Linked DNA regions of Elephas maximus indicus. The protein of the gene in region 2 purifies or fractionates together with the protein of the main gene of each other region. This does not show direct contact. Links are inferred from orthologs where the notes say so. Each region holds a gene or a part of one and is shown on either strand. Other genes may lie near its edges. The genes, in order: TSR1 and SERBP1.

The links.
Region 1: the proteins of SERBP1 (region 2) and TSR1 purify together in Homo sapiens (affinity purification with mass spectrometry; 3 studies listed by BioGRID and IntAct, with this or other methods). This does not show direct contact. The link is inferred for Elephas maximus indicus from reciprocal best matches to the Homo sapiens genes SERBP1 and TSR1.

What each region holds. Positions count from the first base shown.
Region 1 is NC_064837.1:19,436,272-19,444,924, reverse strand, and holds the start of TSR1 (pre-rRNA-processing protein TSR1 homolog), read right to left. Parts: upstream 3,332-8,653; 5' UTR 3,177-3,331; coding exon 3,080-3,176; intron 2,909-3,079; coding exon 2,805-2,908; intron 2,507-2,804; coding exon 2,287-2,506; intron 2,180-2,286; coding exon 2,045-2,179; intron 1,662-2,044; coding exon 1,237-1,661; intron 490-1,236; coding exon 330-489; intron 1-329. Other genes in the region: SGSM2 (small G protein signaling modulator 2), read left to right, coding at 4,555-4,611, 8,124-8,199. UniProt on the Homo sapiens protein: Required during maturation of the 40S ribosomal subunit in the nucleolus.
Region 2 is NC_064821.1:113,362,386-113,370,350, forward strand, and holds the start of SERBP1 (plasminogen activator inhibitor 1 RNA-binding protein), read right to left. Parts: upstream 3,205-7,965; 5' UTR 3,086-3,204; coding exon 2,773-3,085; intron 1-2,772. UniProt on the Homo sapiens protein: Ribosome-binding protein that promotes ribosome hibernation, a process during which ribosomes are stabilized in an inactive state and preserved from proteasomal degradation.

The DNA.
Region 1 (8,653 bases), on a different chromosome or scaffold from region 2:
AACTCTAACACGCTATGAGTAGAACAGACTACTTCCAAATTTAATTCAGCCACCTCAAAACTAGCAATACTTATACAAATAAATAAACCTTGGAATGACTCCAAAAGTGTTTATCTGTTCATTCTAAAACAAGAACAGAAACAATTTTGAGAAATGGGGCAAAACTGTGTTCAATACTTAATGTAAATATACAGCATTTAGGGGAGAGGGAAGGAGACAGACCTCCAAGTACATCCTCGCCCCACTCTAATATATAGGTTCCTCATTGTGAGCAGCTATGATTCTGATTGTAAACCAGATAAATTACAAACAAGTCTGCCAACACCAACCATTTGCCTCACTCAGCTCCTCCTCAGTGGGCCAGGTCTGCTCCCCCTCCATTGGATCTGGGATAACCTCTGATTGCAAAGACTGCTGTCTACCAGGGTCTGCTTTCATTAGGACCTTAAGATCTTCCTCCATATCAACTACAGCATCAGTAGCACAAATCTGAAAATCAAAGCAGCTGACGGTCAGCCAAATATTAACCAAAAAGCTAGCAAATTTAACACCATAACCAAAAACCTCTAGACTAAATGAAATGTTCAAGTAGAAAATAAAATACTCAAAGAGAAAATAAAACAATGACACAGAAAGCCAAAACTTGTCAAAATGTTTCAAATGGCTCCTACTGTTTTAAATCTATACTTAAAAGCTTGGCTTTTGAAATCTTTCATAAGCTGGCCTTACTCCCAACCAACCAAGTTGCTCCCATCAAGCTGTTTTCGTCAGAGTTCAAAGAAACTCTCTGACCCATAATTGTGCCAAGGTTCATGTTATCCCCAACTCTTTCTAGAATATTCTTTCATCTCTCTTCAACTCATAACTCCAACCTATTCAACATCTGGCTCAAATCTGATCTCTGTGATGTTTGCTAGTCTACTTTCTCAACTTCCATAGCAGGTCTGTACCTTAGCCATGTACTATTTTTGTTTCACAGGTGTGCCACTTTACGGGGAAGTGACAATGCATATATCTCCTATAAACTCAGAGCCAACTGAAGTGCAAGGCACCTAGAAAGTGCTGGATAAACAGTTGATTTATCAACATATTTGTAGTTAACTACTGCCTTACTTCCAACTGGCAATAGCCTCACTGGCCTAAGTGTCCAGCCTACCTTCTCTGAACTTGGTTCTAATTCTGGACCAGCTCATGTATCAATCTACAATAAATGGCTTTTAAGAACATCAATCTTACCTCCATTGCCATGCCCTGGTCCTTTTGAAATTTAATCACTCCAGAATTTAAAGGGAAAGGGTCCATGGGGGCATCTATCTGTTTCATCTGGAAATCACCATGTCCAATGATATGCAGCAAGCTATTTACATTGAGAGTTTGTCCACGAACATAACCTGAGACTTTCAAAGTGCCAACCAAGTTACTTTCCTCACTAGGCACAAAGTCAGCAGTATGGGCAAGCAGGTAGGCCCGCCGATCTCGAAAGGCAAGATGCCGTTGCTTTTGATTAGCCAACTGCCTGAGCAGCATCCCTGCCTCCTGTTGAGTGTCTAACAGGAGGAGTTTGTCATCAGGAAAGCGCTTCTCCACTGCTTTACTTAGCTTCTTTCTGGCATCTATTTGTTTCCTTGGTGGAAGGCCAGAAACTCCCTGGACAGCTAGTGCTGTGAGCAAAAGAAAAAGAGCTTGGTGATGATCTATTGCTTCACTATGCGAAAATCCCCGTGCAATTCACAAATTAACAGTTCAGATGTGAGCCCAGAGATCACTGGGAAACCCAGAAATCAGCTACCCTAAAGACATTTCACAGTGAAACCAAACTTCATAGTCTTCTTCTTTCTCTGGGCAAAGGACAGACTAAAAATAAAAAGGAATGTTGGCGAATAATTTGTTAATAATGGACCAAGCTTGTGCCATATACGTACAGCCTGCCATCAGCTCTACAAGGTTTTCCTGTATCAAATGCCAGGCAGCGTCCTGGCAGATTATAGGTGGTCAATTAATGCTAATTCACATCCTTCCATGGCCTCCAGTACTCCTCACTTACTATAGGTGGGAAGGCCCTGAGCAAAGAGGCAGGAAAGGCAGTAATCCCCAGTGCTGTCCCAGCCTTCTAGTGAATCGAGGAGGAACAGGATGGTATCAGCCACTTTAGCCATATCCAACACAGTGTGCAGATCCCCTGGAGATACAAGAAAAAGTCAGTAAGAAGTGGTTGGCACCACCAGATTATATTAAAAAAATATATAGATTACCCCTACTCAAACATAATGATAGTAATATCCTAACCTGGCTTTGCAGATGTAAAAAACCACCGATGTTTCAACCGGGGGCATAGCAGCATGAAACTACCGGTGCCTCCCCATTCACGGAGGTGTACTGTTCCAGTGTCACTATCCTGCAGCAGGCGAAAGGCCTCTGGCAGGGAAATCCTGCTGTGCAGGGGCACCACGAGTACATGATGGGGAGGGCCATCCTTGCTGCCCAGCTGTCTCTTCTCTGCCAGAGCCTGGTGATCGAAAGGATCAGAGAGCATCTCAGTGTCTCTCAGCATTTCGTTCTGGTACTGCATTTCCAATACTCAGATGTTCCCCCTAACCAGCAAAACTCTTGTAAGAGGTGGTATGCCAGGAGGGTGGCAGGAAATCGGATCAAAGCAAGGAATGCCCTAGCGCGGGTCTACATCTTCATGCCCGACATGTGCTCTGTCGCCGGCCCCTTCCCAAGGTCACGGTTTCTAATTCGAGGCTTTACCCGCCTAGAGCGGTTGTGAAGCCACACAATTCCCCGACTCCCGCTCCTCTCACCGCCTCTTTCTTCTGCTTCCGGAGCTGGCTGGCACGATGCCTCTGGTCTACGCGGCTAAGCTCTTTTCTCACCTTCTTGCTTAGAGTTTTCACTGCTAGGCGGCCTGGAGGGCGGATCAGAAAGGGCTCTAGTGCATCAGACGATCAAGAAAGAGGACCCGTCTCCGCCCACCCTGGAAAGGAACTTCAACGCGGGGCCCAGGTCCGAGGAAGGTCAGTTTGGGCATGCGGAAAGCAGTTAAACAGACATTCCTCCTCCTGCCCTAGCTCCTCACCCTTGCCGTCTCGTTGCGCGGATCCCCGACCCCGATGCCGCCCGCCTTTATGAGCTTTATTCTGCTGCTTGAGAGGGCCGGAGCGATGGGCCGCCATGCCGCCGCTCACATGCAGGCAGTCAGCACTCCTTCCGGGCCGGGCTGAGCATTTCCGGTCCCGAGCGGGGCGGGCAGGGGCGGGCCCTCTCCGCCGAGGGGCAGGGTTCCCCGCGGCCTTTCGCCGGGGTCTTTCCCCGCAGCCCCGGGGGGCGGAGTGCCCGCGTCTCGGCCGAGCCGTGGTGTTAAGTTTTCCCACGCGGCAGTCTGTGATTGGAGGCTTTATAAAAACGCCGTATTTTGACTTTTGTGGTTCGGGCTCTCGGTCCAGGAGAGGTGTTTTGCTCTCCTGTGTTTTCTTTTTTTTGCGTTATAAAGTTGCATCACGGCCGAAGAGGTTGCACGGGAGTCCCTCCCTTCGTGCCGCGGAGGCTTCGGGCCTCCTCGAACTTAGATTTGTGCACGCGGTCTTTAAGTTTGCAGCAGCAGGTGTTCTTTGTCACTTTGAACAACCTTCTCTCCCTCAATTCCCTCGCAAGGTTGTTGAAGTTTCCAAGCCGAGTGGCGTGGACGGCGCATCTCACCTTCACCTGCTCCGTACAAGCTCCCGCTAGTCCCTGTTGCTCCACCCCGCGCCCCTACATCCCATACCCTCAGGAAGGGCCAGACCGGACGTGGCGACCCCGAGGGAGATGGAGAGGGCTGGCTGTGACCCGCGTCCCCTCAGGGCCGGCCGAGCCTCTTCTGGCTCGAGGCGGCTGCATGCCCATAACCCTTCCCACAAGCCTTGCAACTGAGGGCGATCGACCTGGCAGGGGGACTCGGGGACACACGGAGTTCTGGCTTTTCCGTGGTCAGACCTCTCCCGCGGAGGCCCAATGCCCGGGCCCTCGCAGCGCAGCCGCTCTTTTCCTTCCCGTCGGGAGAATCAGCGGGTAGACGTCTGGAGGCCTCTAGCTAGGTGGAATCCAGCCCCCCGCGCGGGCGACTTTCTCCGCAGCCGAGAGCCGACGGGGTCCAGGACCCGCCCCGAAGCCCCACCCCGCTTTCTGCCTGGCTAGCTGCGGGCGCTCATAATGCGGGTTCGCGCCCTCGGGGCGGGAGCGGGCGCGTTGCCATGACAGCGGCCCGCGTGGCGCGCTCCCGGGCCCGCCACCCGAGGCACGCGCCGCCCCGCTGCGTCCGGATCCCTGCCGTCGCTGAGCGCCCTCCCCGGGCTGTGGGAAGGGGCCGGGCCAGCCGCCTGACGTCTGTGCGGGGCTCGGAAGATGGCTGCGGAGCCGAGCGCCGGGCAGTGGCGGCGGCGGCGGGCAGGGAGCGCGGCGGACGGGGACTCCGCCTTGCGCGTGGGGCGCTGAGCCGAGAAGCGCGGAGGCGGCGAGGGCGCGCGGAGGACTCGGAGGGTCGCTCGGCGCTGCCTCCCCGCCACCCTTCGCACCATGGGCAGCGAGGAGGACACAGTCAAAGAGAAACTGCTGTGGAACGTGAAAAAGGAGGTAAAGTCGGGGCAAGGACCCCGGGGGTCTCGCGCCCCTGCCCGCGGGGCCCAGGGGGCGAGAAGGTCCGTACCCACCCCGAACGCCGGCTCTCACAGGCCCTGCCCTGGGCCTTGCGGGGGTAGGTCCTGGACCGGCTGCGGCTCCCGCCCCCCTCCCAAATTGGGGGGCAAGGCCCCTCGGCCCCAGGAGCCAGGCCGGAGCTCCGGGGTTTGTTTGCTCCGTGATCCCGCAGCTCCCCGCCCTGTGACGGCAGCAGCGCCGGGAGGCCGAGGTCGGGGGAGGGGTGGCGGTGATTTCTGGAGAACCGGAGCTGGCCATTCATTACCCGCGCCGCCAGGGGAAGGGGCAGGGTCCCGCGGGGGCCTCCCGCCGTGATAAGCGAGTGTTTTCGGGGTTAGTGCCCCTTTTCCCTATTCCCCCCGCCAGTATCCCTCTGGGAACTGAGTCGTGGCTGCCGGAGGGCTCGCTGCACACCTCACTGCTTCTCACTCCACGCCCACCTCCTTACCCAGGGACCAGTTGTTTTGTTTTTAAGAATGGTTTTCAGGACTCGATTTTTTTTTTCCCCTGTGGAAGGAGGCCCCCACATCGGAAAGAGTCCTTCCTTCTACTAACCCCCTTTACCTTGACCCAGCTCAAAAGCTCATTTCAGGAGAGGGGAGGTTGCCCATAGGAATGACTCACCCCCATCTGAGGGCTGGAGAGCTCAAACCTGCAGAGTTGGTTAGAGTGGATTAGGCCTCTGAAGCCCTGAGCTCCTTCCACCACTTGCCTCTTTGGCTATAGTCTGCCAGATGTGTGAACTGTATGTTTTGTCCACTAAGCATCCAGCACTTGGTGCACAGTAGGCACTCAGTGACTTTATGGCAAATAAATTTGCTGATCTTGGAGACTGGAAAACATGGTGAGAAAGCACAATTTTTGGAATAGGCTGGACCTAGCACTGTGTGACCTTGAGTAAGTTACTTAACCTCTCTGAACTTCAATTTCTTCATCTCTAAAATAGGAAAATATTATCTACCTCATCTATAAAAGTTCATTTACCATGTTGGTTCTTTCAATCCTTCCTAGAGTTTCAGTGTTGGGGAAGACTCTGGGTTCCAATAAAATCCTGTAAAGCTTCAGACGGTTATCCTGCTTCAGCCACGGCCTGCCTACTCTCCCCTAGCATTTGTTTCCTTCCCTCCCCCGGCAAAGAAGTGTTTGAAACCCTCACCTCTCCAGCTGTGTGTGAGAAGCTCCATTGTGTCTTTGCTGTGGAGTGGCCAAGTAAGGGTTTCTTAGGCCAGGGGTATAAGCCCCAACTTTTAAGCCTCAACTTTGCCCTCCCCGAGGGAAAGAGAAATCTTGGTGCTTGTCCTCAGGAAGCAAGCAGCCTAGTGTCGGAGACTTATACAAACAAGAAAAAAAAGCAGCTGTTGCTGCACCTAAGCTGTTGCCAAATGTGCTAGAATCGTTGGTGTGACCCAAATTGTCTATACTGCTTCAAGAATGGTTCCTAAACAAATGGCCAGAGTATCCCGCAGCTCTGTATCTTACCCGGGAGCCCTGATAGCACAGTGGTTAAGAGCTTGGCTACTAACCGAAAGGTTGGCAGTTTGAACCCACCAGGGGCATGTGGAAGAAACGTGTGGCAATCTGCTTCTGTAAAGATTTACAGCCTTGAAAATCCTGTGGGGCAGTTCTACTCTGTCCTACAAGTGGAACATGGCTGACCTTTCACAGAGGTGCTCTGTGTAATTCTAGGGACCTACTTCTGTAGGTGCTCCTCACCTCAAAATTTACCCACCAGACTGCTTCAGATGGCTGCTGGCCATTGAGTTGAAATGCTGTGCTCTCTGTTCAATGCAGGCACTCCTTGAAGTAATCTAGGAAGCTGTTAACAGTTTAGAGTGCATGAATCAATTTGATCCCTTTACCTAACTGCTAGCCATGAGCAGTTTTCAACAGGGGGGAGGCTCCAACTTCTTCCTCTCTTCTCCCCAAGCCTTAGGAGCTCCTCCACCCTCCAAACTGTAGGGTCCTGGGCGAGGGCCTTGGGAGCTGTGGCAGCATCAAGACACTGAATGTCTTGTCAGAAGAACGGCAAAGACTAGTTTACTTTATCTGTAAGATTTATGCTGGGATAAAGAAAATCCATCCCTGTAATCTCTAGTATTAGTATCTGTCTCCTGGCATTTCTGCCCCAGGTTCCCCCAGGACATAAGAAGTGCTTGGCTGAAGTGTTGGGAGTGACTCATACACTGCTGGTGGGAGTGTAAATTGGTACAACCACTTTGGGGGGCAATTGGACAATATCTAGTAAAGCTGAATACATGCATGCTCCATGACCCAGAAACTCCCTGCCTGCAAGTATAAATCAAAAGAATTTCATATGTATGTTCACCAAAAGGCATGCCCAGAATGTTCATTAAAAAAACCCATCATAGCCACCAGTATTCATGACAGCTCCAAACTGGGAACTACTCAAGGGCCCATCAGTTGTGGTGTATTCATAGAGTAGAACACAGCAGTGGGAACCAACAAGCTACAGTTACGTGCAAGAGCATGGACAGATCTCACAGTCACATAGGTAATCAACAGAAACCAGTCACAAACCCTACACATGGTGTGATTCCATTGAAAACACAAAAACCAGTGAGGCTAATCTATGGTGTTAGCAGTCAGGATAGTGGGTACGCTGGAGCAGAGGACGTGACAGTGCGGTGGGAGGGAAGCTTTGGGGTGCAGGTCACGTGCTGCCGTTTTGTTTGCTGGTTTCCCAGGTGTGTTCAGTTTGTGAAAACTCATCAAGCTGTGTAATTATGATCTGTGTCCTTTCGGGGCAGTTCTCAGTCCTATAGGGTTGCTATGAGTTGGAATCGACTCGATGGCAGCAGGTTTTTTTGATGCATTTTCTAGGTGTTTACTCTGCATCAATAAATTGTTGTTGTTTTTTTTTTTAATGCTTAAAGGAAGAAAGGTGACAGCCCACTCACAAGGTATTTGGAAGCTTTTACGTGCAGATAGGAACCTGAAACAGTGTTTTAGAACCTTGATAAAAAGAAGTCAAGGCTTGTGAGCATGTGGAGAGTGTCCCTGAGGTCTAGACAGATCTAGCCCCTAACCTCAGAGAAGGGGGAGAACAGGCAGGGCAGGTTGTTTATCTACAGCCCGTACTGAGACAGTTTGTCTCTAAAGAACAGTGTGTTTCCCCAGAAGCCCTTCTCCAGATGAGCAAACAGCATCCCACCCCTGTTCTCCACGGTGTGGCACTTCCCCCTGAGCTGGAACAGTCGTACTGATTGTTTGCTGGGGTTATGCCATTTCTTTTCCTGGTTGCCTCCCCAAAAGGCTAAAAGCAGCCTGTGCTGAAGAAACTTTGCTTTCCCACTTCCCATCCCTGTCATTTACTCTGTGCTGTCTGAACCCAGACCAGGGGGACAGAACCCAAGTGATTTCCTTACACAGAGGCCTTTGACCAGGAAAAAAATTTGTGTATAATAAGGATGCTGCTTATTTGTCCACAGGTGAAGCAAATCATGGAGGAGGCTGTCACCAGGAAGTTTGTGCATGAAGATAGCAGCCATATCATTGCTCTGTGTGGTGAGTGAATGGCTGGGGGACTTGAGAGAGTGGAAGGTGAGACAGCATTAGAACTGAGGACATGGCCCTGGAGCCAGGTTTAGTAGGTCTCAAACCTGGCTGCAAGTCAGAATCAACTCGGGAGCTTTTGGAATCTCCTTGAGGCCCCCTCCCAGATTTACTGAATTGGGATCTCCAGGCCCAAGAAAACATGTATATATGCATATATTTTTAAATTGTTGTAAAAATTTGTATAACATTTGCGGATTCATTGTTTTTAGGTGTACAATTTAGTGATAGCAATTACGTTAATCAACCACCACCAATAATGAATATTTTTAGTGCCCTGGGACAGTAATTCCCAAATTTTAGCATGCACCAGATCACCTTAAACGCTTGTTAAAACGGACTCCTGGGCCCCCACTGCAGACTTTCTGATTCCAGTTGGTCTGGAGTCAGGCCTGAGAATTTGGAT
Region 2 (7,965 bases):
TTATCCTCAAGCCACAATTTCTGACAAAGCCAAAAAGCAGCTGAGGGATTGGTTTTGTAACAAGATCTTAAGTTGATTCATTTCGGTTCTAAGAAAGTGGAACACCATCAGGACACACCCAGTTCTTCAATTCATTTTAACCAAAGTCAGAGCAGTAAATATCAAGCTCTTTAATAAAAATTTAAAGTTCATTCCATGTAAACTCTCAGAACAGGGCACAAGTGTTAGACCTTACACCAAGGCATTTAAGTAAGTTTCTTCAGAGGTATAATGTAGTGGGGCGGGGCTATGGAACCAGTCCTTATAATGACATCCAAACTAAACACACCCAAATGAACAATAGCTTGCTTCCCCACCCAATATTCAATATTAGGCTTAATTACAGAAACTAAAAAACTTAATAAATTCACCCAATGAAAAATAATTGACATAAAATCACAGGTTTGTCTTGCTGTACTTCTAGGCCGATTTTCACCAGATTCCAGGCTTTTATTATTCCCATAAAACCTTGACTGGTCTACATCCTCAGTAACATTCTGTTGTGTCAATTCTGAAGTTCTTCAAATGGACAAATGACAAGCTACAAAATTAATTCATATAATACAAACACTAAATACTTATCAGAGTTATGTCTACCACTGTACCTGGACCTATTATTCATCCCACTACAAGAGGGTAGGGACTTTGTTTACAGGTTTATCCCCAATGCTCAGAACATTGCCGAACAAGTGCTAGAATCTCAAAACAAATTTTGGTTTTCATTCAAGTTTTTTTTTTTATTATCTATAAACTTACGTTTTATGCAACTCAAGTTCAAGGGTGCTCTACAATGTTGATCTAAGGAAAATGTTGAGTTAATATGGAATAATTTTCCCATGGAAAAAATGACTCCAGAATGGCGAACTTTGTCCCAGTTATAAATTTATGAAAATATTCTCTTTATAACGTAAAACACTAGTTTGTCAGTAAGAGCTTATTTTATTTCAAAGATGGGCTTTTATGATCAAAACAACTGAGGCATTAAACCACACTTCGTATGCTTTCAAAATTCAAAACGTGTGAACACACCTACCTGGTAACATCTTAGATGTTTCATACTCAGTTCTTTCACGTGCTTTCTTTGGATGAGTGTAATCAAGGAAACAAATCTGGGCAGTTCTAATATTTACTCAAATGTGTGTTCCCTGAGACAGGAATTAAATGTTTTATTCAATTGTGCTACAGGTGGCCATAAGGCTTAATTGATCTAAGTGATATACACATGTTTTCTAAGATTACAAATTGTGCTTTCCCCCAACCTATAGTTCTAATACAACTCTTTCACTCACCACCTAGGTTTTTCCACATTTTGCTGTGTGCTGTCGAGTCAATTCTGACTCATAGCGACCCTAAAGGACAGAGAACTGCCACATAGGGCTTCCAAGGAGTGGCTGGTGGATTCGAACTGCTGACCTTTTGGTTAGCAGACTAAGCTCTTAACCACATTGGCACCAGGGCTCCTTTTCCACATAGGCTCAAAAATATTTAGCATAAAAATGAAAATTTCTTAAACCGAATTCCAATACTCTCAACACAAGTGAAATTTTGGTTTGCTTTTTTCCATTAACTGAATACTACAGAATTCAATCAAGGCTAACGAGAAACAACTCCTTCCAAGAGCACGTGGCAGTAAAAGGTAATCTCAACTTTCAACATATAAAAGCAACTCAGGTCCTATACCGTTTTTCTTTTACCCCCAATTATTTTGCTCTTTTCCATTCACCAAAACAGATAAACCAGTAATGAGAACGCAAAAATCAAACTCAAGACAATTCTACGAAATTGACAGTGCCCTGAAAGCAACTATCACCGGCCAGTAAAATCCTGACCATGCTTCCACAGGTGGAGAAAAGGCTGCAGACTCAAAAGAGCTCCAGCAGCGGCTAATGTTGTGACAGCCTCTGCACTCACTTCACACCACGAGGCCCAGACAACGCCACACCACATGGAACATTACGTGCGGGGAGTTGGAAGAGCAGAAGAGCGATTCTCAAGACTTTCTGCAACAAACATAGTTTTCAGAATTCCCGCTTCTGCTTAAAAGAGTGTAGCCAAATCCCTCTCCTAACAGCTTAACTAACTCCAAGTTATAAAATACTTGCCGGGGGGGGGGGGATGAAGCACGTGTGGCACACCAAACAGCAGCCTACTCCACAGTATCTGATCATCTCAAATACAGAAGCAACTGAGGTCTAAACTCCGACTCCCAGCTTTTCACCGGAGTACTCCACGCCATCGTGGGACAAGATGGCAGGACAGAAGACTAAAACAGACACCACCTCAAAAAAACACGCTGAAAAAGAACTGCGCAGGAAGAAGCTGTGGACCCCAAGCTCCTCCTCAACTACTAAAGCTGCAGTAAGTGGCTTGCTTCCCCGCACCTCTGTCCACGCGCTCGCCCGCCAAGGAATCCGGCGGGAAGGCAACAGCCTCCCAGGACGCCGAGCACGATCAAGAGCAGCTTATCTCCGGACCACGCTCCTCTGCTCCGCTCAGAACCCGAGGCGGGAAGGGGGTGGCTCCGGGGATCCTTGCAGACAGTGGCTTGAACTTGGGACTACCACGCTCCCTGCACTTTACAGGACCTGGCTTTTGTCGCGTGGGAGAATCATGAAGAAACAGGCGGCAAAATCTGTCGCGGCTCCTCGGAACTCCAGAAGCAAGTGGCAGCCGCAACTCCCCTCGCTCCTGCCCTCCGTCCCCGGTCTTCCCCACCTTCTACCCAAGCTTTACCTTCTTTCTTAAGCGCCACGGGTGGCTGCGTCTCCTCTTTCTTGTCAACCACGCCAGCACTGGGAGGCAGTGGGTTCTTCCGGTCTTTCTGGGACTCTTTACGCAGCTGTTTCCCTGCCGCGTTGGAGTTGGTCTGGGCTGCGGCCTGAGCTGCGCTCTTGGCCCCAGGGCCCCCAACACCGCCCCCGCCGGCTTCTTTTTTCTTGTTCTCTGCCGCCTTCAACACCTCGAAGGGATCCGATTCGTCGTCAAATAACTGATCGAATCGGTTGGTGACCACGCAGCCGAAGCCCTCCTGTAAGTGCCCAGGCATGATGGTGGCTGGGCGGCGCGTTCCTCCACGGATTGCAGCGGGCCGCGCCGAGCCAAGAGTGCCTGCTTCAGCTCTTCCCACAAGATGGCCGGGCCGAGAGAGGGGGGCCTTCTTCTCTTCCGGCGCCAGGCACATATCCGGGAGCGGCCACCGCCGCACGGCACCATGGGCTATGTAGGCCAGAGTCGTTTCTCCAGAGGAGTCACCCGGCACTGCGACTACAATTCCCAGAATGCATCACGGAACAACTCTTCGCGCGCGCCTGAGAGGCAGGACCTCGTGAAGGGAATGAAGCGTGCGAGCTGAGGGAGGAGAAGTGCGGTGGTGGGCGGAGTCCTGCCACCTGCTCTTGCCACCCTTAAACTCTCCAGATATCTAGCTACCCTGAAAACAGGAAAACGTGACGGCGTATTTTACTTGCGAAAGTGCTGTTTTTGGTTTTACTCTCCTCGCCGCAGGCTCAAGGCTAACTTTCTCCATCTCTTCGGGAGGGTCAAGGTGACTCCTAGATCTTTCAACTGGAGACTCACAAACTTCCGGGGGAGGGGGAGTACGGAGGTGCTGGCTGGCCTCCGGTAAGCAGGACCCTGTATGTTCTAGTCCCTAGCCGCTCAGTGGCTGGAGTTGCCCTCCTTCATCCCCCTAGTAATGAATTGAGGCTCTTAATGTTTAATGTGAGGCGGAGTACGCTTCCTCTCGCGGAGACTTGAACTCCGGTAGCAAAATTAATCGAAAAGACAAATTGAACTATCACATGGGACGGTTACGCGCCTTTCCCACGCAAGAAATGCCCCGTTGCAAAGGGTGCTTTAGAGCTGTTAAGTCCCTACAGTGCAGCACTAGACACTGGGCAAGTCTCGAAAAGGCACCGTTTGTAACAACACTTTATAGAGCTAATCTAATTGTCTATTTTTTTTTTTTTTTTACTATTATTGTTTGGGAGGCAGGGGTAGGTGGCTGTGGTGTTAAGTAAAATGTGCTCAGTAAATATTAGATTTAGAGTATTTTAGTTTGTTTGGAGGTGCAGTGAGGGGAGGGAAACATGGCAGCAAATTGACATTACTAAAAGCGTTGCTATTACTTGAAAATATTAAAGTCTATAAAGGAGCCCTGGTGGGTCAGTGGTTAAAGCTCTCCGCTAATAAACGAAAGGTCGAAGGTTGGAATCCACCAGGCGCTTTATGGAGAAAGATGTGACCTTCTGCTTCGGTAAGGATATACGGCCTTGCAAACACTACAGGGCAGTTCTACTCTGCTCTTACAGGGTCACTATGAGTCGGAATTGAGTTGAAGGCAGTAGGTTTGTTATGGTTTTTTAAGGTAATTCAGTGTGAGTGCATATTCAAACACATTTGTTAACACTGTAAATGTTTAAATACAGCGTGTAATTTTTAAATCTTACGCCATTACCACACAATATAAAAGATGAATCTCTTATGTGCCAGGTGCCATGAGTAACTTTAATCTCAACAACTTGTAACGTTTCCCCTTTGCACAGATGATGAAGCCATTTCAGAGAGGTGGAATGATTTACCAAGTTCACACTTCTAGTAAATGCCAATGCCAAGAGTTAACCCGGTCTTTAAATTCCACTGTGAGAATGTTGATATCAACTTTTTTTTTTTTTTAAAGATTGGGCTTTAGGTGAGAGTTTATACAACAGATTTGTTTCCCATTCAACAATTCGTATACCAATTGTTCCCTGACACTGGTTGCTATTTCCCCTTCTCCACCAGCAATGGGTCAGCGCTTCCCCCATTTCCACCCTACCTTCTCCATTTCCATCCTTCCAGTTTCCCTTCCCCTCTTTGCCTTCTCATCTTTGCTTTGGGGCAAATGTTGCCCATTTGGTCTCATTTAGTTAATTGTTCTAAGGGGCACGTTCCTCAGGGGGTGTTACAGTTCATTTTTATATGCCAGTCTGTTATTTGGGTGAAGGGTGACCTCTGGAAGTGGCATCAGTCCAGGTTGGAAAGATATCTTAGGGCGATAGTTTGGGGGCTTTTGCAGTCTCTATCATTCCAGTAGGTGTGTCTTTTTTTATGAATTTGAGTTTCGTTCTACATTTTTCTCCCATTCTACCCAAGAACTTCTCTGTGTTCCTGGTCAGAGCAGTTGATATTGGTAGCTGGGCACCATCTAGTTCATCTGGTCTCAGGCTGCAGGAGGCTGTGGTTCCCATAGGCCATTAGTCTTTTGGACTAATTTCTTCCTTGAGTCTTTAATTTCCTTCACTCTCCTTTGCTCCAGACAAGAAGAGGCCAGTAGTTGTATCTTAGAACATAGCTTGCAAGCCTTTAGGACCCCAGGTGCTACTCACCAAACGGATGTAGAACCTTGTGTTTATGAATTATGCTGTGCCAGTTGAGCTAGATGTCCCCTGAGACTTATGTTCCTTATCCTTCAAGCTCAGTGACTCAGTCCCATGAGGTGTTTGCATATGTCTAAGAGGTTTCCATTACTGTGCTCCCATATGCTCTTTTATATATATGAATATATATGCAGTTTATTTAAGTTTGTATATACAATTACAACTATATCCATACAGGCATGTGCGTACACTCCTATACGCCCTCCCACCTCTATATAGCATATGTATCTACCCACGTAACCACTCACAGATTTTTGGGTCGTTCTTACTGTTGTTGCTCAACTGTATATGGTATGGTCATTACTGTAGTCATCCTTTATTCTTGTGTACCTCTCAGTGTCTTCATTTCCCTTGGTCACATTGTGCTAACTTCCCCGTATTATTTGCTGTCTTTTCCTTCACCAGAATTAACATGTGTCTGCTGTCTATTAAGTGGTTCTTCCTCCCTTCCCTTCCCATACCTGGTAACCATTAAAGAATGTTGCTTTCTGTGAGTAAACCTTTCCGTAACTTATCATAAAAGTGGTATCATATGGTATTTGACTTTTGTGATTGACTTATTTCATTCAGCATTATGTCCTCCAGATTCATCTATGTTGTAAGATGTTTTGTGGACTCATCATTAGTCTTTATTGTTGAGTAGGATTCCATTGTGTGTACGTACCGCATTTTGTTTATCCATTCATCCATTGATGGACGCTTAGGTTGTTGCCATCCTTTTGCTATTGTGAATATTGCTGCAGTGAACGTGGATGTGCATGTGTCTATTTGTGTCACTGCTCTTATTTCTCTAGGATAAATGCCTAATAATGGGATTGCTGGATCATATGGTATTTCTATTTCTAGCTTTTTGAGGAAACACCATATCGTTTTCCATAATGGTTGTACCGTTTTACATTCCTATCAGGGGTGCATAAGAGTTCCAGTCAACCCACAGCCTCACCAACATTTGTTGTTTTTTGTTTCTTTGATCAGTGTCATTTTTGTTGGCGTGAAATGGTATCTCATTGTGGTTTTGATTTGCATCTCCCTAACGGCTAATGATCATGAGCATCTCTTCACAAGTATCTTATTTGGTGAAGTGTCTGTTCATGTTCTTTACCTATTTTTTGATTGGACCATTTGTCTTTTTGTTGTTGAGGTAGGTGTTTAAGTTTTCTATGTATTTTAGAGATTAGACCCTTTTCAGATATGTTGTTGCCAAAAATTTTTTCTCGGTCTGTAGGTTCTCCTTTTACCTCTTTGCTGAAGTCTTTTGATGAGCACAAGTATTTAATTTTTAGGAGGTCCCAGCTTCTAGTTTCTCTTTTGTTGTTTGTGCGTTTTTAGTTATGTTTGACAGTTGATATATGCCACAAATTAGGACCCCTAGCTTTGTCCCTGTGTTATCTTCCAGGATCTTTATAGTTTTAGGTTTGACATTTAGGTCTGGTCCATTTTGAATTAATTTTTATGTAAGGTGTGAGGTATGGATCCGTTTAATTTTTCTGCAAATCAATATCCAGTTTTGCCAGCACCATTTTTTTTAATTCATTTTTATTGTGCCTTAAGTGAAAGTTTGCAAATCAAGTCAGTCTCTCATATAAAAACTTAAATACACCCTGCTTTACACTCCTAATTGCTCTCCCCGCAGTGAGACAGCACGCTCCCTTCCTCCACTCTCTCCTCATGTCCATTCAGTCAGCTTCTGGCCCCCTCCGCCCTCATCTCCCCTCCAGACAGGAGATGCCAACATAGTCTCATGTGTCTACTTGACCCAAGAAGCTCGTTCTTCACCAGTATCATTTTCCATCCCATAGTCCAGTCCAATCCTTGTCTGAAAGAGTTGGCTTTGGGAATGGTTCCTGTCTTGGGCTAACAGAAGGTCTGGGGACAGGATCATGACCTCTGGGGTCCTTCTAGTCTCAGTCTGACCATTAAGTCTGATCTTTTTACAAGAAGTAGGGGGTCTGCATCCCACTGCTCTCCTGCTCCCTCAGGGGTTCTCTCTTGTGTTTCCTCTCAGGGCAGTCATAGGTTGTGGCCGAGCACTGTCTAGTTCTTCTGGTCTCAGGCTGATGTAGTCTCTGGTAATGTGGCCCTTTCTGTCTCTTGGGCTCATGATTACTTTGTGTCTTTGGTATTTTTCATTTTTCCTTGCCCCAGGTGGGTTGAGACCAATTGATGCATCTTAGGTGGCTGCTCGCTAGGGTTTAAGACCCCAGATGCCACTCTCCAAAGTGGGATGCAGAATGTTTTCTTAATAGATTTTATTATGCCAGTTGACTTAGATGTCCCCTGAAACCATTGTCCCCAAACCCCTACCCCTGCTACGCTGACCTTCGAAGCATTCGGTGTAGTCAGGAAACTTCTTTGCTTTTGGTTTAGTCCAGTCGTGTTGACCTCTTCTGTATTGTGTGTTGTCTTTCCCGTCACCTAAAATAAAACTTACCTTCTACCTGATTAGTGAAAACCCCTCTCCCTCACTCCTTCCCTCCCCCGTCTCATAACCATCAAAGAATATTTTCTT